Linked DNA regions of Ovis aries. The protein of the gene in region 7 interacts with the protein of the main gene of each other region in a pairwise test. Links are inferred from orthologs where the notes say so. Each region holds a gene or a part of one and is shown on either strand. Other genes may lie near its edges. The genes, in order: ADTRP, ORMDL1, TMEM115, ALG3, BCL2L1, APOA2 and CREB3.

Region 1 (4,300 bases), on a different chromosome or scaffold from region 7:
ATTATTCTAATTCTACAAAATCATTTTTTTGTTATTGTTTTCTGTTTACTTGTTTTCATAAAATTCTATGATTGAAACAGGCAGTCACCTTGATATTTTTCAAGCATGGTAGAGCTGTACTCAGGCTTCCTAGGTGGCACTAGTGGTAAAGAACCTGCCTGCAATGCAGTAGACAAGGGTTTGATCCCTGGGTCGGGAAGATCCCCTGGATGGGGGCATGGCAACCCACTCCAGTATTCTTGCCTGGAGAATCCCACAGACAGAGGAGCCTGGGGGCTACAGTCCATAGGTTTGCAAAGAGTTGGACATGACTGAATCGACTTAGAATGCTCAGAGCTCAAATCTCAAATTTCAGGTCCCAAAGTCAGATAACCAGTGAGGAGGAAGCTGAAATTCCAGGCCTCTGTGAACTGAGCTTTCTGAATTTCCTCTCCTTAGCATTACAGAGAGTCTTTTTTTTTTTTTTTCTTACCATGCATTACGTCTGCCTGGATTATGATGCCAAAGAATTGGAATCAAATACTTATATTGCACCCTAGATTTAGGTTAAAAATTCCAAAACTTAAATTAGCATCCCCAAAGGATACAGCATTCTTAGCTTTTAACTCTAAAAATAATGTTACATATTCCCCAAATGTTTTTTAGAAATCTATTTTTCTCCCGTTCACTTATACTTCATCATTTCATTCATCCCATTGTGGTCAGCTGGGCTAGGAAGAGAAGCAAGGAGCAAGCGATGTGATTGGTTTGTGGATGGTTGAAAATGTGCATTTGCCATTTGGTTGGGTGATTTGTCCTTTAAGATGGAGCCTGAGCCTATAAAAAACTTGAAGTGGGATCTGAACGTGGCAAAATGTATTTGCTTTTCTTAGATAAATCTGTTAGTCTGGGTGTGCTGTAAAATGGCATTATTCCTCCACTGGAAATTGCACTTCCTACACAACATACGCCACTCTGCCTTCCCTCACAGACTTCCCCAAGCAAAGTTCAAAATCTCTTCTGCATATGTTGTCAATGTCATCAGGAAACCATGAAACCATGACTTTAGTTCCTCGTTTAGGCTCATCTGAGAAGCACTTCAAGGTAAGATTATTTTTTTTACCCCTGAGAAGGAAGGATTTATTACCTGCAGCAAGTAAGGAGAACACTTGGGGATCTCTCATCAAGTAGTGTCTCCCCAAATAGCAAAACTGGGGAAGGTTTAAGCTAAAGGAACCTGCATATTCATGAGGGGGCTTGAACAGAGGAGAAATAAACATCCAATTGGGGCAAGGACTCGTGGACACAGTAGAGGAAGGAGCGGGCGGGACAAATTGAGAGAGTAGCATTGAAACATGGACATCACCAGTTGACAAAAGGATTGCTAGTGGGAAGCTGCTGTGTAACACAGGGAGCTCAGCCCGGAGCTCTGTGATAGCCTAGAGGGGTGATACGGGGGGAGTGGGAGGCAGATTCAAGAGGGAAGGGATATATGTATACATATATCTGATTCCAAAGACATGGCATCTGGTCCCATCACTTCATGGCAAATAGACGGGGAAACAGTGGAAACAGTGGCAGACTATTTTTTTGGGCTCCAAAATCACTGCAGATGGTGACTGCAGCCATGAAATAAAAAGACGCTTACTCCTTGGAAGAAAAGTTATGACCAACCTAGACAGCATGTTAAAAAGCAGAGACATTACTTTGCCAACAAAGGTCTGTCTAGTCAAAGCTATGGGTTTTGCAGTCGTCATGTATGGATGTGAGAGTTGGACTATAAAGAAAGCTGAGCGCCGAAGAATTGATGCTTTTGAACTGTGGTGTTGGAGAAGACTCTTGAGAGTCCCTTGGATTGCAAGGAGATCCAACCAGTCCATCCTGAAGGAGATCAGTCCTGAATGTTCATTGGAAGGACTGATGTTGAAGCTGAAATACCAATATTCTGGCCACCAGATGTGAAGAGCTGACTCATAGGAAAAGACCCTGATACTGGGAAAGATTGAAGGTGGGAGGAGAAGGGAACAACAGAGGATGAGATGGTTGGATGGCATCACCGACTCAATGGACATGAGTTTGAGTAAACCTTGGAAGTTGGTGATGGACAGGGAGGCCTGGAGTGCTGCAGTCCATGGGGTCACAAAGAGTTGGGCACGACTGAGCGACTGAACTGACTCTGACTAATATCTGATTCCAGCTGTAGTATGGCAGAACCCAACACAACATTGTAAAACAATTATCTTCCAGTTAAACCTTTTTTAAAAAGAACAATTTTTAATAATTTTTTTAAAAAAGAGATAAGATTCTTTTAAAAATAATTTTTAAAAGTGTTTCACAATTAGTCAACACAAGAGGTAACTATGGATAACTCCCAAAGTGGGTTTCTCAGAGCAAATTGCCAAATAAAAGAGAATGCCCAAACTCACAAACTATGAAGAAGAAAGATAATGGAATTTTGGACTGGATAAAATCAAAGGGTGTTAACGTTTAAGGCACTTATATGAGAGACAAATAGCTTGCTTCCTGATGCGTACTTACCAGATTAAGCAGTGTTAGGTACTTCCATTTTCCCCCCTTTTGAAAGATTAGGGATATCTGCGGATCCTTTCCTTCTAGTGAGATATAAAAGTTGAGGAAGATATACCAGCTCAAGACAAACAAGTGGTATACGCACGTAGACGTCCTCGTCATGGCTAGGTCTAAGCAGAGAGCCGTGAGCTGCTTCCTTCCAAAGTGCTTGTAACAGCTGACGTCCTAGGGCAGGCGGGAGACGGAGCGCTGTAAAATACACCCCTCTGAGACTGACAACTCCAACACAGCTGGGAAGCTCTGCTTGTGCTTGTCAGTATTTAGGCTTTGAAGAGGGCAGGGAGCCATGATGCAAGAAGTGCCCTTTGCACTATTTGGCTAGGGTGGGGCATGATTCAACAACCTCATTGGTAAGTCAAGTCTAGTGAAATACCGTCACGGCCAAATACTCTCTTTTCTACCCTTTCCTTTGGGGAAAGGAAAGCGTGAGAAAGTTGCCGTAATATATCCTGAGAGAATGAGAATGAGGTTGGCAAACCTGCTGGAAGAGATCGTGGGTACGTTTAGCACACAGACGGGAGTAACTAGAAATGGGAAGGGTGTTGTAATCTTGTTCTGAAGGTCTCTGAGGCCCTCTGAAATCTAAAATAACCTTTGATCCTCTATCGATCAGCCCCAGGGTTTTAGCTGCCCCTCCCCCATCCCACAGATTTTTATCTGTATCCTAGAAAACCAAGAGTTACTGAGAGCTGTCCCACACACTCTATTTGCATAGGGATTTCTATTCCCTGGGAGGAAAGAAGTACAGCAAGAGGTCTGTAGCCAGAGAACAGGAAGAGACGTGTGGCCCTAACCCCAACAAACCTGAGTTCGGACACCGCTGGGAGGGAATGAGGGTCTCTGCATTGTCTTGGAGTGGACAAGAACATGCTCAGGCTGGGCTAAGTTTTCAGAACTGGGCCCTGCCACAGGCCCGACAGAGGGGACCTCAGAGAGGTCTGGAAGTGTCTACCTTGTGACATCACCAGCTCGTTTCCCCCGGGCAACTGGCTCCAAGGGTTCTGAGCAGATCCCTAAGGGAAGTGCCCCTGGTGCAGTTGGTAAGTCTGGAGTGGGCGGTGCTCGGTGATTTAATCAGAGCTCACAGGAACTAGGGGAAAGAATAGCAGGCACAGGATCCCAAACATCAGGCGCTAAGCACGAGGGAAGAGCAAGCCTGAGCCAACAGTATAGGGTCTGCATTGGAAGCATTCTCAAAGGAAAGGGTAGTCTGGGAAATGAGAAATATAAAATCCCACACACAGGTCCACAGCCTAAGTTAACACCGAATATAATAATATTGCCTAATATAGTACTTACCATGTGGGAGGTATTGTTCCGAGTGCTTTGTGCAACACTCTAAACACTGCTATCAACTATGTTCTGTTGTAACCCTCACTTTCAGATGAGGAAATTGAAGCCCAAGCTGAATACATTCAACAGAAACTAAGAGGCAGGTTGAGTTGCAGTCTGAACCCTAACCAGAGTGAAGTGAAAGTCGCTCAGTTGTGTCCAAGTCTGCGACCCCATGGACGGTAGCCCACCAGGCTCCTCTGTCCGTGGGGATTCTCCAGGCCAGAATACTGGAATGAGTAGCCGTTCCCTTCTCTGGGGAATCTTCCCAATCCAGGTATCGAACCCAAGTCTCCCGCATGGCAGGTGGATTCTTTACCCTCTGAGCCATCATGCCTGACCACAAAGGAACCATACTTGCTCTGTACACCCTCAGACGCCCTTTGCAATATTTCTCCAG
Region 2 (3,993 bases), about 67 Mb from region 7:
TTCCTGGCTAGGGAAGATGCTCTGGAAAATGAAATGGCAACCCACTCCAGTATTGCCTGGAAAACACCATGGACAGAGGAGCCTGGCAGGTTACAGTCCATGGGGTCACAAAGGGTTGGTCACGACTTGACAACTAAGCAACCACGCATATATATAGTCCACCTTCTCTTACACCAATTTTGAAATGCCCACTGAAAGTTATTTCAGCATTACAAATAAACTCTGTGTATTGCGAAGGTAATAAAATTCAACTTCAAAGATAACTACAAATAATCTGATTTTTTTCCTCTTTTATCTTGAATAAGATCAATTCTCAAAGGAATTCCCAGGCGGTCCAGTGGTTAGGATTTCACTTCGCTACCAAGGTCCGGGTTCAATCCCTTGTTGGGAACCAAGGATTCCACAAGCCTCCCTGCAACCCACGGGGAGCGGCAAAATAAATAATCCCTTGGAACCCATATTTCCTCAGCAAACAAGTACCCGTCTTCTGCGTGTAGAGAGACCCAGAATGACCTAAGTAAAAATCATCGCCAACCGAAAAGTTTGCTTGCCCCACTTGCATGATGCTACTACATACAATATCACGAAGCCTACCCTCACACTCAAAGACAGGCTGAATTATGGCTGTCCGGAGGTAAAATTCTGCCCGGCAAACTTTAAGACCTGCACTCACAAGGATCTGAGGAGTGGGCTGAGACACCGTTTAGTCAAGAAAGCCCAGACACTACGGAGGCCCGCAGCTGGTGGGAGGCCGCTACCCGCGTGTGCGCGCCCGCGAGCGCCGCTGCGCCTGCTTCCCGCTCCGCGAGTGGAGAGGGGGAGGGGCGCCCCCGGCGGCCCCCGGTGCTCGCGCCAGACCAGGACCAGGTCAGAGGAGGCCGCTCTCGAGCCTACAATGTAACAATGAATGCCCGTTGGCCACACGACACTACCTGCTTGCTCGCGCGACGTGGGCAATTACAATCCACTAGCGGACCGGCCAGCGTCCCGACGGGAGCCCGGGCCCGGCCTCGCTGAGTCCCGACTCACCCACAGCGCGCGCGGGGCGGGGCACACACGGAGCGCACCGCCCTCAGTCCCGCCCAGTCCGGCGAACGTGGGATTGGCGCCGCCCTCAGCCAATCCCCGGGCAGCGCTTTCCGCAAGGAGCGCTTCCGCCAGCCGCGCCGCGCGGCGCGGCGCTGAGGCTGACCACTCGCATCCGGCCTGAGGAGACGCCGCCTTCGCCTCCGCGGCGCTGGTATTGTTTCTGTCCGGCCGCCGGGAGTGGGGCGGCGGGTGAGTGGCCACGAACGGCCGCAGGGGCTGGGATGCTGCCTGTGCCGTGGGGAGCTTCTAGCAGGCCCTCGGCTTGAGGGGAAAGGTGGACTTTGGCTCCATCCGCAGCGCCCCGTCTGGCGATGCGGGCCAAGTGGCCCCCAGGACTTGCTCCCCAAATCCTCGTCGTCGCGTCCCGGCCGTGACGGGATGTGCAGCTCCGAGAAGAAAGGGTGGGGAGTCGGGGCGGTTTGGCGATAGCACAGCGGCTTTTGCTGAGCTTCCACTACCCGGGAGCTCCGGCCGCTGGGGAAGGCTGCCCTTGGCTGTGTAGCGGGCGGTCGCTGGGTTCCCTGCATCCGCGAGGGCAGCGCCGAGAGGGTTCTTTGCTCTGTGAAGTCATTGTTTGCTAGTCCTGAAGTGGCGCGGCAGACTCCCTGGAAAGGTTTTCTGCCCTGGGGTAGGATCAGTCTTCGCCTTCCGCCTCAGATGTAGATTTTAAGGTCTTTCGAGCATTTAAAAAAAAAAAAAAAATCTGTCGAAAGTGGGAAAAGCACCCTGTGTGGTGGCATGTTCTAAGTACAATTTATAGCGTATAAAAATTATATATTATGTACGGTGGATATTTAGACTGGAAGACATATTTACACGTTTAAATTTGAGACTGACTTGATGATTTTAGTGTAACTTTCATCACCGTAAGCCTATAGATTTTTGGAGGGAGAGGGCCATTGTACTCTGAAAATACTTGTTGGATGGAGTTAGGATAAATTTCTCTCTCAGTGCTGACTCTGTAATGAAAACGGTTTGTGTATTTTTAACTCAGCTGTTCCCAATACACTGTAGCACGCCCCCCCCACCCCCCAATCTCAGAAAGAAAAAAGGAAGGGGGAAGAAGGAAAGAGAAAAAAACAGTATTTTAGGGACGGTGACCAGAATTACAACGTGCAGAAGACAGACTCCTTGTTTTAACCTAATTGTATCACAAGATTGAGAGAGAAACCTCATCCTTTGACCATGTAAAATTTCCACCTCTTTGTGTTTCTCTCATTTTCAGTGTTCCTGAAGGAGTGATTTGAACTCTGACCACTCTATGGATACATTGTTAGGTGTAAGAGTCTGGCTACTCAGAACAGACTGGTTTAGTTTAACTTTGTTCTTTTTTGCATATTAGTTTATTCTGTTGGTGAACTTCCTGAATTTTCACTTTGCTCTCATGATATAAGAAAATGTAGGTTTTCTCTTTCAGTTTGAGGTTTCCTGCCCATTGTTTCATTTAGTAAAACCAACATGCTTGACGACAAGCTTTAGGAAAGGAATTTTAACTTTATTATTTTCAACAAGAAGCATAAAAATAAGTCTTGTCTGTCTTAGCTTAGAATAGGATGTGAATAACTATTGACCTCTTGGGGATGTGAAAGTAGCATATTTTGGAGGGTCTGTTCTATTTTAGAACGATGAGGAGGAAAAAAAGTAATCCCAGTAGCACACTTATTTTGTCATGTCAAAATTAGGAATATTTGAGTTTCCAGTTACATCAGTGTTGATTCATTTCATTGCTTTTCTACAGCGCAAACATGAATGTTGGCGTTGCCCACAGCGAGGTGAATCCGAATACCCGGGTAATGAACAGCCGTGGTATGTGGCTGACATATGCATTGGGAGTTGGCTTGCTTCACATTGTTTTACTCAGTATTCCCTTCTTCAGTGTTCCTGTTGCTTGGACTTTAACAAATGTTATACATAATCTGGTAAGAATTTCACCTTGTACTAAACACTTAAAACCTTAAGGTTTAATGATTTTTCAGAGACTGGGCGGGGAAAAATGGGGAGTTATTGTTCAATGGGTAATGTTTTGTAAGATGAAAAGTTCTGGAGATGGATGGTTGTAATGGTTACATAACATTGTGAATGTACTTAATACCGTAGAACTGTACACTTAAAAATGGTTAAGATGGCGTATTTATGTTATGTGTATTTAAACAATTTTTTAAGAACCTTAAAGTTTTATATTAAAAGAAAAACACATGACTCAGTTTTTAAACAAACAGTTATATAAAATTAAACCATTTATATAGTTCAGTGATTTTTTTGTATCTATGACAGTTTTGAAAAATTCTTATCTCAAATAAGATTATATTTTTGTATCACTTTATATTTAAACATTGGACCCTTTTTATAAGACCTTTTTTTTTCTTTCTGTTTTATAGAATCTGAAAAAAAAAGTCATTTTAGCAAAAATTACAAGATGCTTTAACTCAGACTACTATAATATATTGATTAACCAGAATGCATCAGAAGTAATTATGTTTTTTGGTTAACTAGAATCTAATGAACATCTTTGGTTTAAATCCTTGTTAAGTCTTTCTAAATTGTATAAATATACTTTTCTGTTTCAGTGTAGAAATTTTGAGTTTAATCTGTCTTAAATGATTCAAAAACTTATGGTGCCTTAGCTTCTTCCTGTTAACTATTGCTTTTGTATTATATGATAGCTCTACAAAGTACCAGAGATTAGACCGAATACTCTGGAAATTGCCTATTTAAAAACAAAAAACCTGATAGTGACTTTTTTTGTCTTTCACAAACTATTAAAATAGAATGAAAGGGGAGAAATCTAGTTATTTGAGACTTTTAGTTGAATCCAGATTAACTCTATTTGTTTAAAGATATATCCAAAATGAGAAACTTAGAACTAAAACAGAAAAGTGTAGGAGAAATAGATGTTTTTTAATT
Region 3 (4,131 bases), on a different chromosome or scaffold from region 7:
ACCTTTCCTCACCCTCCACAATGGTTGGCCACATAGCAAAGACTAGCAGTCCCTGAGACAGCTCCCATGCTCGGCAACAGCCCCAGAGGTCCTGGGTTAGATCTGCCATGTGAAATACAGAACATCTAATCTGACTGGGATTTCAGATAATTAATATTTTTTAGTATGTTCCCAACATTGCATGGGACATAACTATAAAAATTGGAGTCACATGTATCCTGAAAAAATTGTTTATCTGAAATTCAAATCTCATTGGCCTGTATTTTGATTTGCTAAATCTAGCAACCCTACCCCTGCGTAGCATCCAGCGGGAACCCAGACCCCAAAGTTAAGGCATAGCAACACGTGTGATTTGGAAGACTATGCACACATCAGCAGTTGTACTGCTGGTGGAAAGGAAGGGATTCTGTACTTTTAAAATGTGCTTTGTTACATAATTAATTATATGCACATTTTAAAAATCCAGTTTTGCACAGGTAGCTTCAGGTGGCTGCTTGAAGCCACCACTGCAGTGAGACAGGGGTCCAAGGCCAGCCTGATTCAAGTTTGTGTGGAGAGACCTCTCCATCAGGATCATCCATTGACTGGGTGAGGAAGAGTCATTGAGAGAGGTCCTGCCTCACCCCTTTTGGGGCTGGAGACCGGAGTTCAAGTGTGGGCTCCACCTCACTTGTACACAAGGGCAGCATGGGCAGCACACTCGCTGAGCAACCAGGGTGGACTGCATTTTACATCCCAGTCCCCTTGGATCCTCACGGTAGGTCCCGTCATCATCTCCATTCAACGGTCCATGAAACTGAGTTTCAATAAAGTTCGGGAATTTGGCCAATGCCACGCATCCGTCAGATGACAGAGCAAGAATTCCAACCTGGGTCAGGCATACACCCGACCGTGGAAGTTCCAGGAGTTCGCGCCCGGTCATCCAACATTCTTAACTCGCACACCTGCCTACAAGGACACACCCACTCAGATGTACGGTCAGACATGGAGCCACGCCTCCCGGGAAATTCAGAAAGTGCATGGCGTGCAGCTGTGCAGCCGCTGGTTCTCGCGGCTCTCCAGAGGTCATTCGCCTTCCCCCCACGTCTGGAGAACCGGCGACCACGGTCCTGAGCACTACAACTCCCAAGCACACCCGCCTCTCCCGCCGCACAGCCTCCTGGGACTTGTTCTACCCAGAGCCCTGATCGCCGCAGGTCCCAGTGTGGCCGAGGACTTCATGTCCCAGCATGCCGCGGAGCCGCAAGGCCGACGCTCAGAGGGCTTCCTGCCTCCGTCGGGGGCGCGCAGGCGCAGCGCCCTGTTTGTCGGCGCCTGAGAAGGGAGGAGGTACTGTCGAAACCGAGACCGAGGCCGAGGCGGAGCTGACCAGACTTGACTCCGGCCCAGAACTAGTCTCCGCGCCGCGCGGACCGTAAGAGGCCCCAGAGTGGATGGAGGAGATCGAGCCCTGAGATCACCGCCAGCCCGGTCGGCGCTGTGGCCACACAGGGCGGGCGGGCAGGCGGTGGTGCCTAAGCTGCTCGGGGCCTTTCCTCAGATTCCCCGTCGAGGGGCCTAGGCCCCGGCCCCGCGACCGACCAGGCCCGGCTCTGCCCTTTGGGACCGGAGTCGACCCGACCGGAAGTAGAAGCCTTCACCGGGGCCATAGGCCAGTGACTAGGTCGGGCCCGGGCCTCCCGTCGGGGCCGGACTGGGAAGAGGCCCCGGGGAGGCCCCTAGCCCACTAAACCCTTCCCTCAGGCCAACGCCCGCGAAGAAGATGCAGCGCGCCCTACCGGGCGCCCGCCAACACTTGGGGGCCATTCTGTCCAGCGCCAGTGTGGTGGTGAAGGCTCTGTGCGCGGCGGTACTATTTCTGTATCTGCTGTCCTTCGCCGTGGACACGGGCTGCCTGGCGGTCACCCCAGGCTACCTCTTTCCGCCCAACTTCTGGATCTGGACCCTGGCTACCCATGGGTTGATGGAACAGCATGTGTGGGATGTGGCCATCAGCCTGGCCACCGTAGTGGTAGCTGGACGTTTGCTGGAGCCCCTCTGGGGGGCCTTGGAGCTGCTCATCTTCTTCTCAGTGGTGAACGTGTCTGTGGGGCTACTGGGGGCCTTCGCCTACCTCCTCACCTACATGGCTTCCTTCAACTTGGTCTACCTTTTCACTGTCCGCATCCACGGCGCCCTGGGCTTCCTAGGTGGTGTCCTGGTGGCACTCAAGCAAACCATGGGGGACTGTGTGGTCCTGCGAGTGCCCCAGGTGCGTGTCAGTGTGGTGCCCATGCTGCTGTTGGGGCTGCTGCTGCTGCTGCGGCTGGCCACACTGCTCCAGAGCCCGGCACTGGCCTCCTATGGCTTTGGGCTGATCTCCAGTTGGGTGTATCTTCGCTTCTACCAGCGCCATAGCCGAGGCCGAGGGGACATGGCCGACCACTTTGCTTTCGCCACCTTCTTCCCCGAGATCCTGCAGCCTGTGGTGAGCCTGCTGGCAAACCTGGTGCATGGCCTCCTGGTCAAAGTAAAGATATGCCAGAAGACAGTGAAGCGCTATGATGTGGGCGCCCCATCCTCCATTACCATCAGCCTCCCAGGCACAGACCCTCAAGATGCAGAGCGGAGAAGGTACTGTGAAATCTTCCAAAACCTTGTTGAGCTAGGAGAATCTTACAGATCAGGTCACATTCCATCTTTTGAGGTGCTTGCTTGCTGTATGTAGGCTGGCAGCTGTATGCAGGCTTACAGTAAGATGTTGGGGGCAGACTCAGAGAAAATCCAGTTTGTGGCCTTGATCTCAACACTTCGGTATCTGGGCTGCATACGTTGCTTTCCAAAATTAGGGAGTAAAAGTTGTCTTTCTCACCACTCAGGGTGCTTAAGTTTCAAGAAACGCCCTGCTTCCTTTTGAACTGTGTGAGGACTAGTGGAGAGCCAGGTACATATAAGCCTGGCCTTGTCTCAGAATCTTGGCATTCTTGACACTGGTCCTGTGGGAGCCAGAAGCAACCCGCTGGTCCTTTTTCCCCTGTGAGAGAGGGACAGGGAAGGAGACCTGGGATCCTTCTGAGGTGGTTGGGGCCACCCCAGTTTCCAAGTGCTGGACTCCACCCTCTTCCTGGGCCTTAAATTCAGATGTCGTGCTTCTTTGCAGCTTATTTATTAACAGGGAAGCCTGGGGTATAACTAGACTTAGACAACCACTGGCCCATGTACACCGACTCTGGCAGGCATGTGTCACCAAACCCAGGGGACAGCCACGTGACCCACCGAGGGAGCCTGCTGACCACACCAGGGAATGGAGACAGCCTTTTCATTATCTGTAAACCAAGCCATCTGCACCATCAGGAGTCTCAGCTGAATTATTCACTTACTGCACCTTGGCCAGGGCAAGACAGATCTTTTTTTAATCCATTTCTTTCTCTCTCCCAGGCCTATGGACTCACCAGAGTGGGCACAGCTCTGTTTCTAACATTATTCTTGAGTGGTTTTTGTTGTTGTTTGCGTTTTTGTTTTTTTATGCAATTACTTGAATTGTGAAATCTAGAGCAGGTTCTGTTCCAACTCTGTGCATTTGTAAAAGGCTTCTGCTTTTGCATACCTGTGAGATGAGTTCTTAGCAGGCAACTTTACAAATTCAGCTGGACTTGTTCCAGTGCTTCCTCTCCACTGGGGCTTTGGCGTGTGGGACACACCCCTCTCCTGAAGGAGTTTCCAACTAGAGAAGGCCAGATTACTGTGGCCCAAGGTGCCAGGTGTTAGTACACATGGCATGCCACAGAGCTTGATTGTGGGCCTTACAGTTTGTGTCTCCGTGGCTCTCAATCCTAGAGACTGAGTTCTTTATTAATCTTTAACCTTAACTGGTGGAGGAGATGCAGCCAGAAGGGCTGGGCCTAGTGGAAACTGAACTGTTCTCAGAGATGTTCGGGTGATCCCAGTCCACAGTGGTGGCCCCTCCTCTAGTGAGAAATCTTGGATTGTTAGGGTTGGCTGGACATTCGAAAAAACTTCACAGCCCCAAGAAACTGGACAGTGGGAGGCATGTTGGGGTGTGGTGTCAGGAAGGGGGTTCCTGGCATAGCCTTGTGGTTGTTACCTTGCTTCGGGATAGGGGTCACTTTACCAAGCAGTTTGATCTCTTGC
Region 4 (4,255 bases), on a different chromosome or scaffold from region 7:
ACTGGGGAGAAAATGATGGAAATACAGAAAATGAAAGAAGGGTCCACCAGGGAGGGGTGTTGACCTGAAACAGCAGCAGCCCCAGCTCCAATGCTGGGCGAGCAGGAGGTTGACACTGAGGAAGAGCAGCAGCATGGCCACTGGATCATTGAAGAGCCGCAGCACAAAGATGGAGTGGACACGATAAGAGGCACAGCACATGAAGAAAAAGACGAAGGGAGGTACCTGAGAGGTGGGCACAGTGGGGGACAAGGTCAGTTCACCAACCCTGAACCGTCCCCACTCCCCAGACCTCCCAGCTTGGGGGGCCCTGCTCCTGGTGGTGAGAACTCACCTTGCAGGTCTGGTGGTAAATCAAGAAGACAAGCAGCAAAGTGGCCAGGTAGAGCACAGCAAAGATGTGCTGGGCCATGCGGATGTCAGTGCCTCGGTCAGTGGCATAGTAAAGCCCCATAAAGATGTACACAAAGCCAGCTGGGTACCTGGAAGAGAAGGAACATGAGCCCAGGTCAAGCTATTCAGCCTGTCATCCAGCCAGCCCCTCCCATCCTCACTGAACCTCCGACCCCACTCACACGAGAGGTCCAGTGTCACCTTGCAGTTGAGTGTAGTCATAGGTGCCATTGATGACGCCCTCTACCTCAGCCATGTAGGCTTTCCAATCAATCTCTGTATCTGCAAAAGGACAGGATGACGTGATTACTTCACGGTCCAGAATTGCTCTGCCTCGCTCCATCAAAGCACAGAGTTTCAGCTCATTCTTGGGATTTCTATCATAATCCCATCTCTAACTGATCTATTCTCTGCACGAACCCAGGTATCTCAAAATCAAACATGTCTGTAATGGAACTCAGAACTTTCCACTCCAAATGTGGTCCCCTTCCTGGATTCCATGAATGGCACCATTAACCTCTCACTTGCCCAAGTCACAAACCTGGGAAACATCCTTGATACTTTTCTTTCATTTCCAACCCTCAGTCACCAAGTCCTGCCTATTCTTCATCCTAAATATCTGTCTCATCCTTCTCCGCTCAATTGGGTGTAACAATCTCTAGCCTCAATGGTGCAATAGCTCCCTAATTAGGCTCCCAGCTTCCACTTTCACTGCACTACATTTTATTGTCCACCCTGCAACCAGAGAGCTCATCCTATAATAGAAACATCACATTTCTCTGCTTAAAACCCTTCAGTGATTCCCCACTGCTCTTAGATAATAAAGACCAAGTTTTTTTTATTATTCCCATTTTTAGAAGAGAAAACTATGAATTAATGAGATTAAGTAACTAGCTCAAGATCAGTAAGCTAGGAAGGGAAGAGTTGGGATTGGCACACATGGAGCTCTAAATTCTTTTTATTTTTTTCTTGAGCTCTAAATTCTTAATCATCATACTATCTCCTTAACACAGCTTAGAGATACCTTCATGATGTGAAATCTCATCTCTTAATACTACCCTCACTTGATTTCTGTGTTCCAACTCTAATTATTTCATTTCTTCAAAGGAAGCAGACTTTCTCTTTTTCAATGGGAGCTCTTTGGAACAGGATTCTCTCCTAGAGTATAATCTGCCCCCCACCCCTTTCTCTCTTTCCTTGGGGAACTAGCTCTTATTGTTGGAAAAGGACTCTAGGAAGCCTTCTCTGACTCCTCAAGTCTGGCTGAAGTGCCCACCTTTGTCCATTATAGAACTTTGTCTAGTACCATTATGATGAATATAATGTAATGTAATTTTCTGTTAACTTATCTTTGTCCAGGTCCGCATACACAAGTAGGAAATCTGTCTATCTTTTTCACCACTATACCCTTGGCACCTAGTATGGTGTTAGCAATATAATAAGCACTTAGTAAATATGTAGTGAACTAACTGTCTTTAGCAAGTAAGCTTTAAATCCAGTGCTTTCTGCCTGGAGAGGAGTGACCAATAATGCCGAGCTGACTGTAACAAAATGCTATCACAGAGAAAATACTTCGAGACCTCAAAATTCAACAGATGAGGAGACTGAGACCCAGCAAGGGATATGACGTGTCCAAAGCCATAGAGACAAGCAGCAGCTGCTGCTGCTGCTGCTGCTGCTGCTGCTGCTGCTGCTGCTGCTGCTAAGTCGCTTCAGTCGTGTCCGACTCTGTGCGATCCCAGAGACGCCTCCTACCAGGCTCCCCCGTCCCTGGGATTCTCCAGGCAAGAACACTGGAGTGGGCTGCCATTTCCTTCTCCAATGCATGAAACTGAAAAGTTAAAGTGAAGTCGCTAGTCGTGTCCGACTCTTAGCGACCGCATGGACTGCAGCCTACCAGGCTCCTCCGTCCATGGGATTTTCCAGGCAAGAGTACTGGAGTGGGGTGTCATTGCCTTCTCCGCAGAAAAGCAGCAGCAGCCATTAATTTGGACCCAGGTTTTCTGGGGAAGATTAAGATCGAGTTTGGTTTTCTGTGGAGCAGACTTTGGATTTGGGTAAAAGATATTGGTCTGCAATTGATGGCTGAGTGGATCAGGGGTTTAAGTTTGAGTTCCGAATGTGGGTCCCAGTTTTTATTGGGGGTTCGGTCTCCCTTCCCCTCTTCCCCTCCCCCTCGGCGCACTCACATGCCACCCTGTGAATGACCCAGAAGGTGATGCCCACCTCCGCCAGGCAGAGGCAGGCGGCCAGCAGCAGCGTGTAGCGCGGTTCCAGCAGCAGTAGGCGCCGCTCTTGCCAGGCGCGCCGCAGCCACTGCCCGCACAGTCCAGCTGCCCGGGTTGCAGGACCCGCCCGGCCGCGTTTCCGCAGGCCTGCCGCCATCTTGCCGGTGCGCCGCTCTTGTGGGCCCGCTACCCCGGAAGCCCGACTCTTTGGTACCTAGGTTCCGCTCCCAGCGCCACGTGTCGCAACGGACTGAGCGCAGACAGGAGTTGTGTGAGTCCTTGTTTACGACTCGAAAATTTCCTGCTTTCACATCTGTCTTCCCTGATGGAGTGCACACTCCATACGAGCAGGAATAGTCTTACTCCTCAGTACGTACTTAGCCCTGGGCGCAAAGGCGCTAATGTGAATCGAACGTTTGCCCAGAAAAGTAACGTTTCTTTCTGCCCGCGTCTTGTCTCTTCCGCAACTCCCCTCCCCACCCCTGCCCAGCATAACACTTCGCCCGTGTTGATATCTGCGTTCATGCCCCTCTTCCTTGGAGAGCAAGACCCGTGGCCGCACTACTCCCGCCACCCCTCAGAGCCTTCCAGGTGCTCAAAACTGGGAAGAAATGAATCTCTTATTAACATTCAGGCTTCTTAATGGAGAGAGCTTGTCAAACTGAAAATGAGGTGGGTAGTGACGACCCCGTTGGAGAAGGAAATGGCGACCCACTCCAGTGTTCTTGCCTGGAGAATCCCAGGGACTGGGGAGCCTGGTGGGCTGCCGTCTGTGGGGTCGCACAAAGTCGGACACGACTGAAGCGACTTAGCAGCAGCAGCAGTGACGACCCAGAATGTGTGACACCATGGGTGTGGCTCTCAGAAGTTAGTGAGCAGTGCATCCAGAGAATTCAGCGTATGGATAATACGACTTTCCCACCCGGAAGATTCTTTCCGGAGCGCTTAGCAGAGGACGGAAGTTCCACGTGTTTATGTTGAGCAACTGCAGATGCCCGGCGGAGACACAAAGGCCACGCCTCCCATATGCCACCATTCTCATTGGCTACATTGGAGCACCACGCCCCGCCTAGAGGTGGGGGCCAGTTGCCCTCACTGCCCGGCAGCCGCAAGCAATGGCTTGTCTGGGGCCTTCCGCACCGGTGCCGGAGTTACCCGAGAAGAACTGCGGGTACCGCGAGGTCCAGTACTGGGACCACCGATACCAGGGCGCTGCCGACTCTGCCCCCTACGAGTGGTTCGGAGACTTCTCTTCCTTCCGTGACCTCCTAGAGCCGGAGTTGCGGCCATTGGACCGTATCCTCGTGCTAGGTGGGTAGTTCCGGGGCTGCCCAGTCCAGGTGGAGCTGGTTGGATTGGCCCCGCCCTCGCTCTGCCTGCCGCTCTCCGAGGACACTCCAGTCAGAAGTCAGGATCCAGTACCTTTAGAATCTCGGCAGTATTTCGCCGGGGCAAACAGGAGCGAAGAGATTCTTAGTCCCGGGACCTTCAGGGGAAAGACAGTCTCTCTGAGTCTGAAGGTGGTAGGTGATCCATGACCCCGTTACGAACTTTGGGGAGGCCGCCTCGAGCACTGGCGAGTTCAGAGGACCTAGTTCAAGTCCCAGCGCTAGTTGACTATGATTTAGGACAAA
Region 5 (4,128 bases), on a different chromosome or scaffold from region 7:
GAGCGGTTGCCTAGCAACGGGGCGGTGGCCAGGCGGGTACCCGGCCTAGCGCGCGGAGGAAGCCGCGAGGCCGCAGCCCACCCACCCCGGCCTCTAGAGAGGTGCAACCCCGGGCCCCTAAGCTCCCGGGGGTGCCAAGAAGCCAGCCTGGGCCTGTCCCCAGGAAAACGTAGTCTCAGCTGTGGGGGGTCTCGAGCAGGCCTCGACCCTTGTCTCTGACCGGTGGAGAGGCTCGGCGCCTCACCCTCGCCCGGTCTTTGTGCAGGGCGCCGGCGGCCATTGTGTCCGTGCGGGGAATGGAGGACCCGGCAATCCCCCACTGCCACCGCCACTACCAGGGCCTTTGGGGAATTCAAAGAAAGCCAGCGGCGTTTCTGGGGGGTCTCCGGCTTTCAGCCTCCCAGAAAGGCCCGGGGATGGCCTTTCCAAACTCAGACCGCAGATCCAAGGCAGTGTTCCCCTCCCTCTGTTTCTCATCGAAACCTTGAGCCCCATCGAGAAGTCCCTTCAAGGTTTCTTCGGAAGCCTCACCCAGGGCTGATACTGAAATAGAAAAAAAAAAAAAAAAAAACTAAAGCTCACACCAGCCACCTCCGAGAGAGTTCTCCTAGCTCCCAGTAGGAGGCGGAGAGCCAAGGGGCGTGCAAGAGCGAGGGGGCTGGGCTCCCGGGTGGCAGGAGGCCGCGGCAGCGGCCGCCCTCGATCGGGGCGATGGAGGAGGAAGCAAGCGAGGGGGCCGGTTCTTGAGCTTCGTAATTCCTGTGTCGCCTCCTGAGCTCTCAGTTCGCCGGGTCGCATGATCCCTCCAGCCGGAGCTGCTTTTTTTGCCAGCCGCCGCCGCGAGGCCGGTTGACTTACCGGCATCCCCGCTGCCACCTCCTCTCCCACCTATGATACAAAAGATCTTCCGGGGGCTGCACCTGCCTGCCGTCGCCTGAGACGGATTTGAATGTAGGTGGTGAGGGTTTATGGGGGTGGGGGGCAGACTGCCCATGGGGGTGACTTTTCGAGGAAGACATTTCAGAGAAAAGGGGGTGGCTGGGATAAAAGGGGAGGAAAAAAAGGCCGGTGTGATGATTCAGAGCCCACTGGTGCTTTCAAATTGACTTCATCGAAGTACCTGGGAAGCTAGACCCATATCTTCATAAGAGCGGCAGAGAACCCAGTTCAAGTACCTGGAGTGGGGAATGGGATATTGTAGGTAAATGGCTTGCATATTCATTTTTTCCCCCCTGAAGCTCTTTCTTTCCCTTCAGAACCTTGTCTTGCCTTTGGATCTTCGAAGAGAACCACTAAGCAGAGACCAGACCCAGTGAGTGAGCAGGTGTTTTGGACAATGGACTGGTGGAGCCCATCCTTATTATAAAAATGTCTCAGAGCAACCGGGAGCTGGTGGTTGACTTTCTCTCTTACAAGCTTTCCCAGAAAGGATACAGCTGGAGTCAGTTTAGTGATGTGGAAGAGAACAGAACTGAGGCCCCAGAAGGGACAGAATCAGATATGGAAACCCCCAGTGCCATCAATGGCAACCCATCTTGGCACCTGGCGGATAGCCCTGCGGTGAATGGAGCCACCGGCCACAGCAGAAGCTTGGATGCCCGGGAAGTGATCCCCATGGCAGCGGTGAAGCAAGCCCTGAGGGAGGCAGGCGATGAGTTTGAACTGAGGTACCGACGGGCATTCAGCGACCTGACGTCCCAGCTCCACATCACCCCAGGGACAGCATATCAGAGCTTTGAACAGGTAGTGAATGAACTCTTCCGGGACGGGGTGAACTGGGGTCGCATTGTGGCCTTTTTCTCCTTCGGTGGGGCACTGTGCGTGGAAAGCGTAGACAAGGAGATGCAGGTATTGGTGAGTCGGATCGCAACTTGGATGGCTACTTACCTGAATGACCACCTAGAGCCTTGGATCCAGGAGAACGGCGGCTGGGTAAGAACCACGCCCCTTATGTATTCCTTTTCCTTGGCTTCTGGTCAAATCCCCAACAACCTTTCCCCTGTGTCTGTTGTGCTGGGTGATTATTATTGTTTGTTAAGGAGACATAACTGGCCTCTTTGTATCACAGAGGTTAACTTCTGAAATACAGATGACCTAGTTCTGTGAGGACCAGACATCTTCATTCTGGTCTTCCTCGTGACCCTACTCTGTCATACTTGTGTTCCAGTTTCTCTGCAGAAGATAACATAGCCTGTGTGTTCATTTGGCCCCAAACCTTTGAGAATGCAAAGGTAACAGGTTACCCCTCACCCTGACATAATGGCTCACAACGTTAAGGGGTGATGAGTGGAATGCCTGGAGAAGATAGTGAATATCAGTGACCCACCAGCCCCTTCAGTCTTACTCCCTTGAGCTGTCAATCCTGTCCTGGGCTTCCCTCCTCCAAATCAGGTTCCCCTTATTTCAGAGTTTGCATGGCCTGGCTTTGCATCCCTCTGGATGGCTGAGGATTGTCTGATTTTAGGTTGTAAGCTGCGCCAATGGGCCAGTTGTGTTTGTGCTGTGCCCCATATTTATTGGCTCTAAAGTATGCGACTTTTCTGTGTGGTTGGCCAGTTTGCGGAGCGCTTGCTGTCAGCCCAGGGACTTTGCACCTCACTGCCTGGGTTGGTTGGGGAGCTCCAGCTGTTATGCTTGTCACTTTTCTGCCATGGCCCTGGGGCCTCTTCACTGAGCACTGTTTGCTGGCAATGCAAGAACCTGATCTTTGGGGCTCCTTGGGACATTGAGATTCAGTGACAGACTTCAGAAACAAACTGACACAGATGTGAGTCCCAGCCCTGTCACTTAACTAGGTGTGTGACCTTGGACAGGCCAGTTTACCTTGAGCCTCAGGTTCTTCCACTAAAAAAATGTGGCCAACCCTCTTGCCTTGCAGTCCTTGTAAATCTTGGAGCTGATGTGAGCATAGTGACAGGAAGTTTGCTCTAGTAGTTACTGTCAGATCCAGGTACACCTTCTGAAACTGAGTCGTGCCTCATTCCTTTGCCAGGGAAGAGAATTCCCTTGCCCTGATATCACCAAGTCAGGATGAGCTGGTGTGGAGGGATTCTTTACCTGTGGTCACTGTCAGCAGCTTTTGCTCTCTTGCAGTGAACTCAGTCATATCTCCTCGCTTATCTCCCTGCCTCAGGGAGGTGTAGGGCTTAAGAGAGGTATTCATTCTGTCCTTCAGAAAATTGAGCAGGCTGTGGAAAATAAGTCATCTATTGAAGGAGCTGAGGTGGAAAGGGCCACGCACCATGGACTCAGGAATGTTAAGAATGCAATTATCCAGAGGCTGGGCCTAGGGTGTGGCAGCCACTTCAGTTTACCACTGAGCAAGGGACCTCCAGGTACACCACCCCCTGTCTTATTTCCCATTTCTTTGCAACTTCATCAACTCTTCCCACTGCCAGTTCTTATAAAGAGCAGAGTAGAGGTCAGATGACCGGGGTGGGGCTGGGAAGGTAAAGGTGGAGGGCTTTCTTTGGCTCAGACTGACCCAACTTGAAAGCCTTTCAGTAAATGAACTCCCTGGGGGAATAAATGATTAAATAGTTCCTGTTGGTTTGTGTGATGACCTCTCTTTTTCCCTCCTGCTTTGATTTTCTTTAGGGGCAAATATTTGTTTAACTTACTACAGGAGGGACAGGATTCCAGCGTTTCTGACACACCCTCTGAGGCCTAAGTAGAGACTTGGGCCATTTGCCCCTCACTGTTATCTCTGGCTGGTGGTCCTAATTCCATGTGGGTTGTGGCCAACTGTTAACAAAAGGCAACATGGGAGAGGTTCCTGGCCTGCCAGCCAGTTGTCTAAGAGGGCCACCTGGACCAGAGAGTTGTTAGTCACCCAGTGTTGCGTGTGGAAAGAGGTCTTTGACACAGCAACACTGGGCAAGATCATTAGATCACCACTGGATTGACATTCCATCTTCTGCTGTCTCTTTGCCCAACAGCATACCATGTGTTACTTCCTCTTGGTGGACAGAGGGGATGTGTGCAGAAGAGCCAGTTATATCAGAACCGTTTCTGGGCACGTGTTCTTCCCGAGGCCAGGAGATAGAGAACATGTGACACTGGGATCCTTTGGGTAGAAGGTGCCGCCCACTTCCTCTCGGGGACCATTCTGTTTGAGCTGCACACTGG
Region 6 (3,258 bases), on a different chromosome or scaffold from region 7:
ATTCCAGTATTCTGGCCTGGAGAATTAAAGAGTTGCACATGACTGAGGGACTTTCACTTTCTTTTCAGGGGAGAAGCACAGTGTCCCCTGGCTCAGAATGGAGGGGAGGGGCCTTGGGTGACACCTCTGGGCTCATTTGGGGAAGCTTTCTCCTCTTCATAGTGTGGTAGAGGAAATTCTGAGGGGTGCTCTCATTTCCCATGACCTCTAGGAGTCTAGGGATTCAGATTATGAATTTTTTGTGCCTTTCAAGGTACCATGTCCAAGGCAAAGTCTCTCTAGGGCCTTCCCAGGCCTGTAAAAAGATTCCCTGGGTTTGGAGAAGAGTCACCAGCGCCTCCCACTCTGTCATTTCCATCACTGGTCTCGTGAACCCTTTCTCCACCCCTTCACACCAAAACCCTTTCCTGTTAGAAGCAGATTTCTCTTTGTTTTTCGTCCTGCTCTTCCCCGACAACCCTTATTTCTCCTGGTTCCCCAAAACAGACCAGGCTCACAACTTAATTCCTGCAAAGTTTATTGTAGAAAACAAGGAGTGGGTAGGGAGAGGAGTCTCAGGCCTGGCCAGTGGGTGTTCCAGGGACGAACAAGGGGTGGGAGGCCCGGGTCTGCACACCTCAGCGGGCGGCAGGCTGCTTTTTGGGGTCTATAAAACTGCTCAAGAAGTTAAGCAGGTCAGTCCCAGCCTTCTTGAACAGGGGCGTCAGTTCCTCCTGCGTCTTCTCAAAGTAGGCCCTGGCAACGTGAGGGGTTAGAAATGAGGGTGAGGGACGGGTACTGGCCTTCTTGTGGTGGGAGGTGAGACCCAAGGCCCCAAACCCTAGTGCCTGGTCTGTCCTGGCACGGTGAAGCTCCTAGGAGGGGAGGCGAGTTCTCAACTGGGCAGAGGAACAGAGAGAGAAATTCGAAGCCCAGTTCCTGCTGCCCCTCCCTGTCGAGGAGGTCTGAGGGATCTGTAGGGTGATGATGGCATTTCCTCTACAATTAAACCTCATCCTCCCGAGCCCCCCACCCCTGAGCTCAGTGCCCTGTGGGATCTCTGAACTTCGCCTCCTGCTCTCCACAGCCCCCTGGTCCCTGAACCCCTTTGCTGAGACTTACTTGGCTTGGGTTTGAAGCTCTGAGCCCTTGGCCTTCTCCACGAGGTCCTTGCCATAGTCGGCCACAGTCTGGAAGTACTGAGAGACCAGGCTCTGCAGATTTGGCTCCTCAGCCTGTCTCCGAACCAGAGCCCCTGTACATACACAGAAACACACACACGCACACTCTCAGTTGAGCCCTCAGCAATGAGTCCCACATCTCTGCCAGTATTCAGCCTCAGCTCTCAGCCCTCTCCCCAAACAGGTATCCAACTCCAGGTCTTTGGATGGGTTTTCTGGGCTTTAGAGAGGGGATGATTTTCCTTTTAAGCTCTCTGGTTGCCAGACCTGGGCATAGGAGCACAGACAGTGGGGCACCTTCTCCTCCTTGAGACCCCTCTTCAGCTCACACCCACCTTCAAGGCCACAGATGGTCAGGAGCAGCACAGTCAATGCAAGCAGCTTCATGGTGTTGACGGCAGGGAAAGTGGCCTGTGAACAGTTGGGGGCAGGGGAGGTCACTGACGCTGCATGGGCTTCCCCCTTCCCCTGCGACCTGCTCCCTACACGTCCACTCCAACCCGGCTCCCTCCTGTTCTACCTGAAGTCTGTGGACACCACCCTCGCCTCTTACTCCCTTACTGTACCTGGTCAGGGATGCTGTCCTCGCCGTCTGTCTGGCCTGGCCGAGGAGGCAGGGGCTATATATCTCTGTGCTTCCCCACTCCACCCCGTCAGGTGATAAGGACTTTGGAGGAGTCCAGTGGGGCAGGGACTATGCTGGAGTAAACAAGTTAGAGAAGTTAGGGGAGGAAAGGCCAGCATGTAGGAGAGCCTGGTGATGGGGTCGGAGGGAGGGCCTTAATGGATGCCAAGGGGATACGTTTTAGTCCTATTCAAGACTCATTCCTTTGGGGCCTGGGACCAGTAGTCCTTGGATCTGAATCCTTCAGTAAGCAGGACTTCTAGGGTTTTCTTCTCTTTTTTCCTGGAAAACTTTGATGTATCAGATCTGACGACCTCAGCCGTTGGTATCTTCGTACCATTATGGGTAAATTTCATCTCCCAACCCTACCCCCATTCACTGAAACTTGGCAGAGAGGTATTGGGGGACAGAAAAAAAGCAATAAAATCAGGGACAGGGATGAGGGGAATGCAGGTTAGGAGAATGAGGATTAGGGCCAGAGGCCAGGTGTGATCGACTCTGTACTTTTTTGAGTTAATGTGTAATGAATGAGATGGGGGAGAAAACACTAGAACCAGAATGACCTTCCTGAGTGCAGATCAGCAAGCACAGCCCACCCCCAATAAAACAAATTCAGAAAGCAGCTGCTGCCCACCCAACGCACCTTCCCCCACCCCCCCACCCCCATCATTGGCGTGCTCTGGCAGGATAAAGGTTGAAGGTCTCTGGGCATTTGATCCCCTTATCAGTTCCAGGCAGTGGTCAGCCAATACAAGTCAGCAGGGGCCATAACATCTCTCCGACCAAGGTCCTGGCCCTTGTCCCTGTCCTGATTGTGAGGGAGGACAGAGATGCACTCCCCAGGCCCAAGGCCTTTGGGTGAAATCAGCTAAATAGAGATCACAAGTATTTGTATCTTTCATCCTTTGACCTCTTCCTGAGAGATAGGAGTGGTGATATGAGAGCTAGTAGAGGAGGCGACCAGAGCCTAAGAAATTTTATTCTATCTTATACTATTCCCCTGTGGAGCACTTGGTGCTTGAAGGGGAGCTCCATTGATTTGTCCCTGGCTTTGGAGTGGAGTGCATTTGAGGGCAGGAGCCTGTATTTCTCGATTTTATTTGCCAACTCTGCCTAGGGAAACTTTTCACTTTCTTTCCTAGGGAACCAGGGAAGGAAAGATCAACTGCAGAGGTCATGTGTTTCAGGGACTACTTCTGCTGGAACTCAGGTTGCAGCCCCTGCTCCTCTACCCCAAACTCTCACACCCATTCCCTTTCTACAGAGAGGACAAGAGGGTAAACTTTAAAAGGTTTGGACCTCTAGGAGGGAGGGTGGGTCCCTTTTCCTACGAAGAGCTGTACCTATGAGTGGAATTCATCTGAGGGTGTACTGTGTACTGTGAAGGACTGCGAAGTGGAGTCCCCAGGGGTTCGTACGGGTCTGGGTGGGGGCGGGGCCCCTAGGAGAGATATGAATCAGTGTTCGAAAGAA
Region 7 (4,074 bases):
CTGTGAGCTTCATGGAATCAGAGACCCACTAAAGACCAAGCATCAGACATATGTGAGAGATGCCCGGTGACAAATCAAATATGGAGCAGGAGAAAGACTGAGACAGTAGTAAGCGGGAGGGATGAGCAAACCCTGATGTGAAAGAGCTGCTTACAGATTCTGTTCCTCCAGGAGCTGTACTTTGTTCTGTAGCTCCAGATTCTGGGCTGTGTATTTCAGGACCCTGGAGGAATAACAGGGATGTGGGGACATGGCCTGTATCCTCCCTTCAAAAACCTCACACTTCCAATTACCTGTTTCTCCCACCCCCGAGTCCAGCTCCCTTTCATACCTGCTTTCTAAACCCCCCACATACACCTTCTTCTTCCTACGGCTCTCTTGAGCAGACTTTTTGTTTCGAATCTTCCTCCGCACTCGTTTCAGGACTTGTTCCTCCATCTGGGAGAAGACAGGAAAAGGGATCCCATCAGAGGAACATTAGACCAAAGAGTTTGAAGGCAACCGAGTTCAATCTTCTCAAAGCAGAGATTCCTTCTACAATTTCCCTGACCAATAGGCACTCTGCTTCTGTCTGAATGCTTCTGTCCTCACAAGCCAAACCATTGTAACAATTTTGTTAGATAATTTTTTTTTAAAACCTTCCTTATGAGCCAACATCTGCCTTTGTTATTTCTACCTGTTGGACTTACCTAGCACCTAATCTCTGGGGCCATAATAGAACAAAGGTCTTCAGCTATTTTAAAGCACTTGGCATTTCTTCAGAGTTAAAAAAAAAAAAAAAAACTGGGCAAAAATTTTAACTCATCATCTTATCTCTTCTCAGGATGGACTGCATCTTCTTAATATCTGTCAAAGATAATAGGCTCAAAACTTAAGAAGCTTTTTGGCCAATGTAAAAGAAAACAAGATAGTTACTGCCCTTCTAGTGGCAACACTATTAGATAACTGGTATCTGATGATACAACTGGGCTTCCCCAGTGCCTCAGCAGTAAAGAATCTGCCTACAATGCAGGCGACTCAGGAAACACAGGTTCCATCCCTGGGTTGGGATGATCCCCTGGAGAAGGAAATTGCAACGTACTCCAGTATTCTTGTCTGGGAAATCCCATGGACAGAGGAGTTTGGGGGCCATAGTCCATGGAATTACAAAGAGTTGGACACGACTTAGCGACCAAACAACAACAACTAAATCTGATGATACAGCTTCTAAACCCCATTCTCTTCCTTAGTAGCCATATCACACTGTTGACTCAACTTGTACTTTTTTTTGGCCACACCTCGCACTTGTGGAATCTCAGTTCCCAGACCAGGGGATTGCACCCTGGTGCAGACCAGGATTGCACCCTGACCCTGAGCAGTGAAAGCACAGAGTCCTAACCACTGGATTGCCAGGGGATTGCCTCAACTTATATTTTTGAGAAATTAAAATTGTTAACCTTTCTGTTAACAGACATTGATTTCATCATAGTATCACAATACTGTGCATGTGAAACTGCCTCTCATTGCTTGAAACTCCAAATTTCACATTTACTCTTGTTATACTACTTAATTGTTATACTACTTGTTATACTACTCTAATACTTGATTTACTATTCAGCTACAAGTAAATTGCATGAAACCAGTGAAATATAAGTATCAGAGCCCCGCGCTTGTACAGTACTTTCCAAATCCCTTTACTAATATTACCCTGATAATTTTGAATTCTTAGTTAAAAAGAACACCAAAATTTATAAAAGCACTACAAACCAGGATCTGTCCTTGCAAGCAGTATACTAACCACATGCCCCAGCTTCCTACTCAAAAATGTGCTAATCTCTCACCTCAATTCTTTTTCAAGTTACTGATACAAAATTAACAGAACTGGCCTACTTGGAACTCACAACCCCCGTCCCCGCGATGGGAGACTTACCTTAGTGAGTGGAAGCATCCCAGGCAAAGTAAGCCCCTCCTTCTCCAACAGCCTTTTCTCCTCCTCAGTCAGTATCAGCCTAGCAATCTCCTGCGGTTCCGGAGAGATGGGCAGCAGAGTTGCAAAGGGATTTCAGAAAGTAACGCGGAATACTGCCCCGACCCGCGCAATACGGAAATAACCCTCCTATAAGTCAAGTACCTGATCTGCCGGCTCCTCCACACACAGTGGAGTCATCTGAGTCCCCTCTTTTCCATAGCTCTCATTATCTGCAAAAGGGAAAATATGAGTAGTCAGGCCTCGGAGTCCTCTCCTTTCCCAAACTTCACTTATTTCAGGCTTACCTAGATCTATGGAGACATGCTCTTGTGAGAGAGAATAGGTGTGGTCATGCTGGACAAGACAGGAGTTAGAGCTGCTGAAAACGTTCAACGATGATGGGGGACTCGGCAGGCAGCTCAGGAAATCCTCCACGTCCCAATCGCTCAGAGACTGCACAGGGTTCAAATTGACAGGCTTTGACCATCACCACCCCCTGCCTCAGGGACACCCCTACCCCGCCCACAAACCCGCCTCACGCCTCCCCGACTCAGAGCCCCCCACTCGCCTCAGAAAGTGGCAGCTCCCAATCCGGCGGAGACGCCAAGGCCTCGTCGGGCGCCGCACCCAAACCACCGCTTTCCTCTAGCAGAAAGCCTAGCAGGTCACGGTCACCCGGGTCCAACGCCAGCTCCATATGAGACATTTATGGAAAAGATGCGCAGAAACACAGGAGTTCACCTCGCCACCCGGACCCTATCCCCAACCAGGCGTAACCGCGACGGACTGTCAGTCGGCCCCACCTATCGGCTCTTCAGCGGCGTTTTCCTCCTAGCTGCTGGCGAAGGCTCTGAAACCGGGACACGCCTTCCAGACTCCACTCCCCGCTAGACTTCCAACAGAACACAAGTGACGCACCTACCCGCGAGGCATGCCGGGAGTTGGAGTCCCCCACCCCACCCCGACGCGGAGGCTGCCGCTGTACGCGCCACGTCCAGGGCGCGATGCAAATAGAGGGGACGTGCCTTCCGCCTCCGCAGTCCCTGAGGGCGGGCATTCTGAGGAAGCGGCTCCGCCCCGGGCTAGAAAAAGGAAGGATTACAGCCTAAAAGGGAACTAGGGCGCAGTTCTGGCGCTTCCTCGGGACTGCACCGCACCCTCGCTTCCGGCTGGGGAGGGGCTGCCGGTCGTCAGCGGGCTCCCGAGCATCGAGAGCTGGGGCCAGAGCAGCTTCCTGCAGTGCCCGCGACCATAGAGCGCGGGCCCAGGGCGCCGCCCGCGGGTGGGGGACGTTCCCGGGACGGAAGTGGCCGAGAGTGTCGAAGGGAGGGCGAGGCCGCAGCCCGAGAGCCACCGGGAGAACGAGCGGGTTAGCGGGCCGGCGGGCGGGGCACAGAGCCGGGCAGCGCAGGTAGGCCGGACCGGGCGAACTGGGGCCTCAGGGTGGGGCCGCGACACCAGGCCTGGGAGGCGGGCGGGCAGGGCCCCTGACTTCTGCGTCTGTTTCGGGTCATCTTGGAGAGGTTCGCGTCCGGTGTATCTCTGCTTGTGCTCTGAGTTAAATAGGCAGTTTTTCGGCAGCCAGGCCCTTCCTGGAGCAGTCCTCGGCCTAGGATAGTTTAGAGGGAGGGTGAGGAGTGGGTGGCAGTGTGACGCAGGGCGGGGATCGGCTTTGAGGTTAGCTGATAGCGGGTACGTGAGCAGGAATGGGTGAGTTGGAGATTAGGTGGAGTTGGGTTTTAGGAGTTAAGGTTAGCTTTAGGAGTGTGCAGCTGGGGTTAAAATTTAGATTTATTAGTGTGAGGTGCGTTTTGTGTAGGTGAGGTTTGGATTAAGGGCATTATTTTGTTTTCTATAACGACCAACATTAGAGTTCAGGTTAAGGGTCAACAACAGAAACTAAGTTAGAAGTCCAGATTTAGGGATTAGAGAAGGTTAGCATAGCCAGTACAGGGGATAAACAAGAAAGGGGTGAATCAGGAATCAAGTGACAAATGAACTTTAGGTTTAGGGATGAAGATTCAGGGTTAAAGGTCCAGAGTTGATGCTACAGGTAAAAATTAGATCAAAATTAGGGATCAGGGATTGGATTCAGGTATGTGGTAGGACAGGGATGCCTGTCAAAT

What was found.
Region 1: the proteins of CREB3 (region 7) and ADTRP interact in a two-hybrid assay, tested with the Homo sapiens proteins (2 studies listed by BioGRID and IntAct). The two-hybrid records come from large-scale screens. The link is inferred for Ovis aries from reciprocal best matches to the Homo sapiens genes CREB3 and ADTRP.
Region 2: the proteins of CREB3 (region 7) and ORMDL1 interact in a two-hybrid assay, tested with the Homo sapiens proteins (2 studies listed by BioGRID and IntAct). The two-hybrid records come from large-scale screens. The link is inferred for Ovis aries from reciprocal best matches to the Homo sapiens genes CREB3 and ORMDL1.
Region 3: the proteins of CREB3 (region 7) and TMEM115 interact in a two-hybrid assay, tested with the Homo sapiens proteins (2 studies listed by BioGRID and IntAct). The two-hybrid records come from large-scale screens. The link is inferred for Ovis aries from reciprocal best matches to the Homo sapiens genes CREB3 and TMEM115.
Region 4: the proteins of CREB3 (region 7) and ALG3 interact in binary tests that used the Homo sapiens proteins (3 or more experiments, as listed by UniProt). The link is inferred for Ovis aries from reciprocal best matches to the Homo sapiens genes CREB3 and ALG3.
Region 5: the proteins of CREB3 (region 7) and BCL2L1 interact in a two-hybrid assay, tested with the Homo sapiens proteins (2 studies listed by BioGRID and IntAct). The two-hybrid records come from large-scale screens. The link is inferred for Ovis aries from reciprocal best matches to the Homo sapiens genes CREB3 and BCL2L1.
Region 6: the proteins of CREB3 (region 7) and APOA2 interact in a two-hybrid assay, tested with the Homo sapiens proteins (3 studies listed by BioGRID and IntAct). The link is inferred for Ovis aries from reciprocal best matches to the Homo sapiens genes CREB3 and APOA2.

The regions. Positions count from the first base shown.
Region 1 is NC_056073.1:43,811,480-43,815,779, reverse strand, and holds the start of ADTRP (androgen-dependent TFPI-regulating protein), read right to left. Parts: upstream 2,801-4,300; 5' UTR 2,671-2,800; coding exon 2,518-2,670; exon of another isoform or gene 1-2,517. UniProt on the Homo sapiens protein: Hydrolyzes bioactive fatty-acid esters of hydroxy-fatty acids (FAHFAs), but not other major classes of lipids. Show a preference for FAHFAs with branching distal from the carboxylate head group of the lipids.
Region 2 is NC_056055.1:119,574,570-119,578,562, forward strand, and holds the start of ORMDL1 (ORM1-like protein 1), read left to right. Parts: upstream 1-1,193; 5' UTR 1,194-1,467; coding exon 1,468-1,490; intron 1,491-2,827; coding exon 2,828-3,008; intron 3,009-3,993. UniProt on the Homo sapiens protein: Plays an essential role in the homeostatic regulation of sphingolipid de novo biosynthesis by modulating the activity of the serine palmitoyltransferase (SPT) in response to ceramide levels.
Region 3 is NC_056072.1:50,040,172-50,044,302, forward strand, and holds the start of TMEM115 (transmembrane protein 115), read left to right. Parts: upstream 1-1,331; 5' UTR 1,332-1,762; coding exon 1,763-2,613; intron 2,614-4,131. UniProt on the Homo sapiens protein: May play a role in retrograde transport of proteins from the Golgi to the endoplasmic reticulum. May indirectly play a role in protein glycosylation in the Golgi.
Region 4 is NC_056054.1:203,711,449-203,715,703, reverse strand, and holds the start of ALG3 (dol-P-Man:Man(5)GlcNAc(2)-PP-Dol alpha-1,3-mannosyltransferase), read right to left. Parts: upstream 2,801-4,255; 5' UTR 2,779-2,800; coding exon 2,583-2,778; intron 676-2,582; coding exon 576-675; intron 483-575; coding exon 335-482; intron 226-334; coding exon 65-225; intron 1-64. Other genes in the region: ECE2 (endothelin-converting enzyme 2), read left to right, coding at 3,737-3,932. UniProt on the Homo sapiens protein: Dol-P-Man:Man(5)GlcNAc(2)-PP-Dol alpha-1,3-mannosyltransferase that operates in the biosynthetic pathway of dolichol-linked oligosaccharides, the glycan precursors employed in protein asparagine (N)-glycosylation.
Region 5 is NC_056066.1:60,937,206-60,941,333, reverse strand, and holds the start of BCL2L1 (bcl-2-like protein 1), read left to right. Parts: upstream 1-1,328; 5' UTR 1,329-1,368; coding exon 1,369-1,932; intron 1,933-4,128. UniProt on the Homo sapiens protein: Potent inhibitor of cell death. Inhibits activation of caspases. Appears to regulate cell death by blocking the voltage-dependent anion channel (VDAC) by binding to it and preventing the release of the caspase activator, CYC1, from the mitochondrial membrane.
Region 6 is NC_056054.1:112,658,664-112,661,921, forward strand, and holds APOA2 (apolipoprotein A-II), read right to left. Parts: upstream 1,759-3,258; 5' UTR 1,727-1,758; intron 1,572-1,726; 5' UTR 1,548-1,571; coding exon 1,496-1,547; exon of another isoform or gene 1,235-1,495; coding exon 1,102-1,234; exon of another isoform or gene 736-1,101; coding exon 618-735; 3' UTR 501-617; downstream 1-500. UniProt on the Homo sapiens protein: May stabilize HDL (high density lipoprotein) structure by its association with lipids, and affect the HDL metabolism.
Region 7 is NC_056055.1:52,808,428-52,812,501, forward strand, and holds the start of CREB3 (cyclic AMP-responsive element-binding protein 3), read right to left. Parts: upstream 2,801-4,074; 5' UTR 2,655-2,800; coding exon 2,517-2,654; intron 2,402-2,516; coding exon 2,254-2,401; intron 2,179-2,253; coding exon 2,111-2,178; intron 2,000-2,110; coding exon 1,910-1,999; intron 439-1,909; coding exon 332-438; intron 224-331; coding exon 155-223; intron 1-154. UniProt on the Homo sapiens protein: Endoplasmic reticulum (ER)-bound sequence-specific transcription factor that directly binds DNA and activates transcription. Plays a role in the unfolded protein response (UPR), promoting cell survival versus ER stress-induced apoptotic cell death.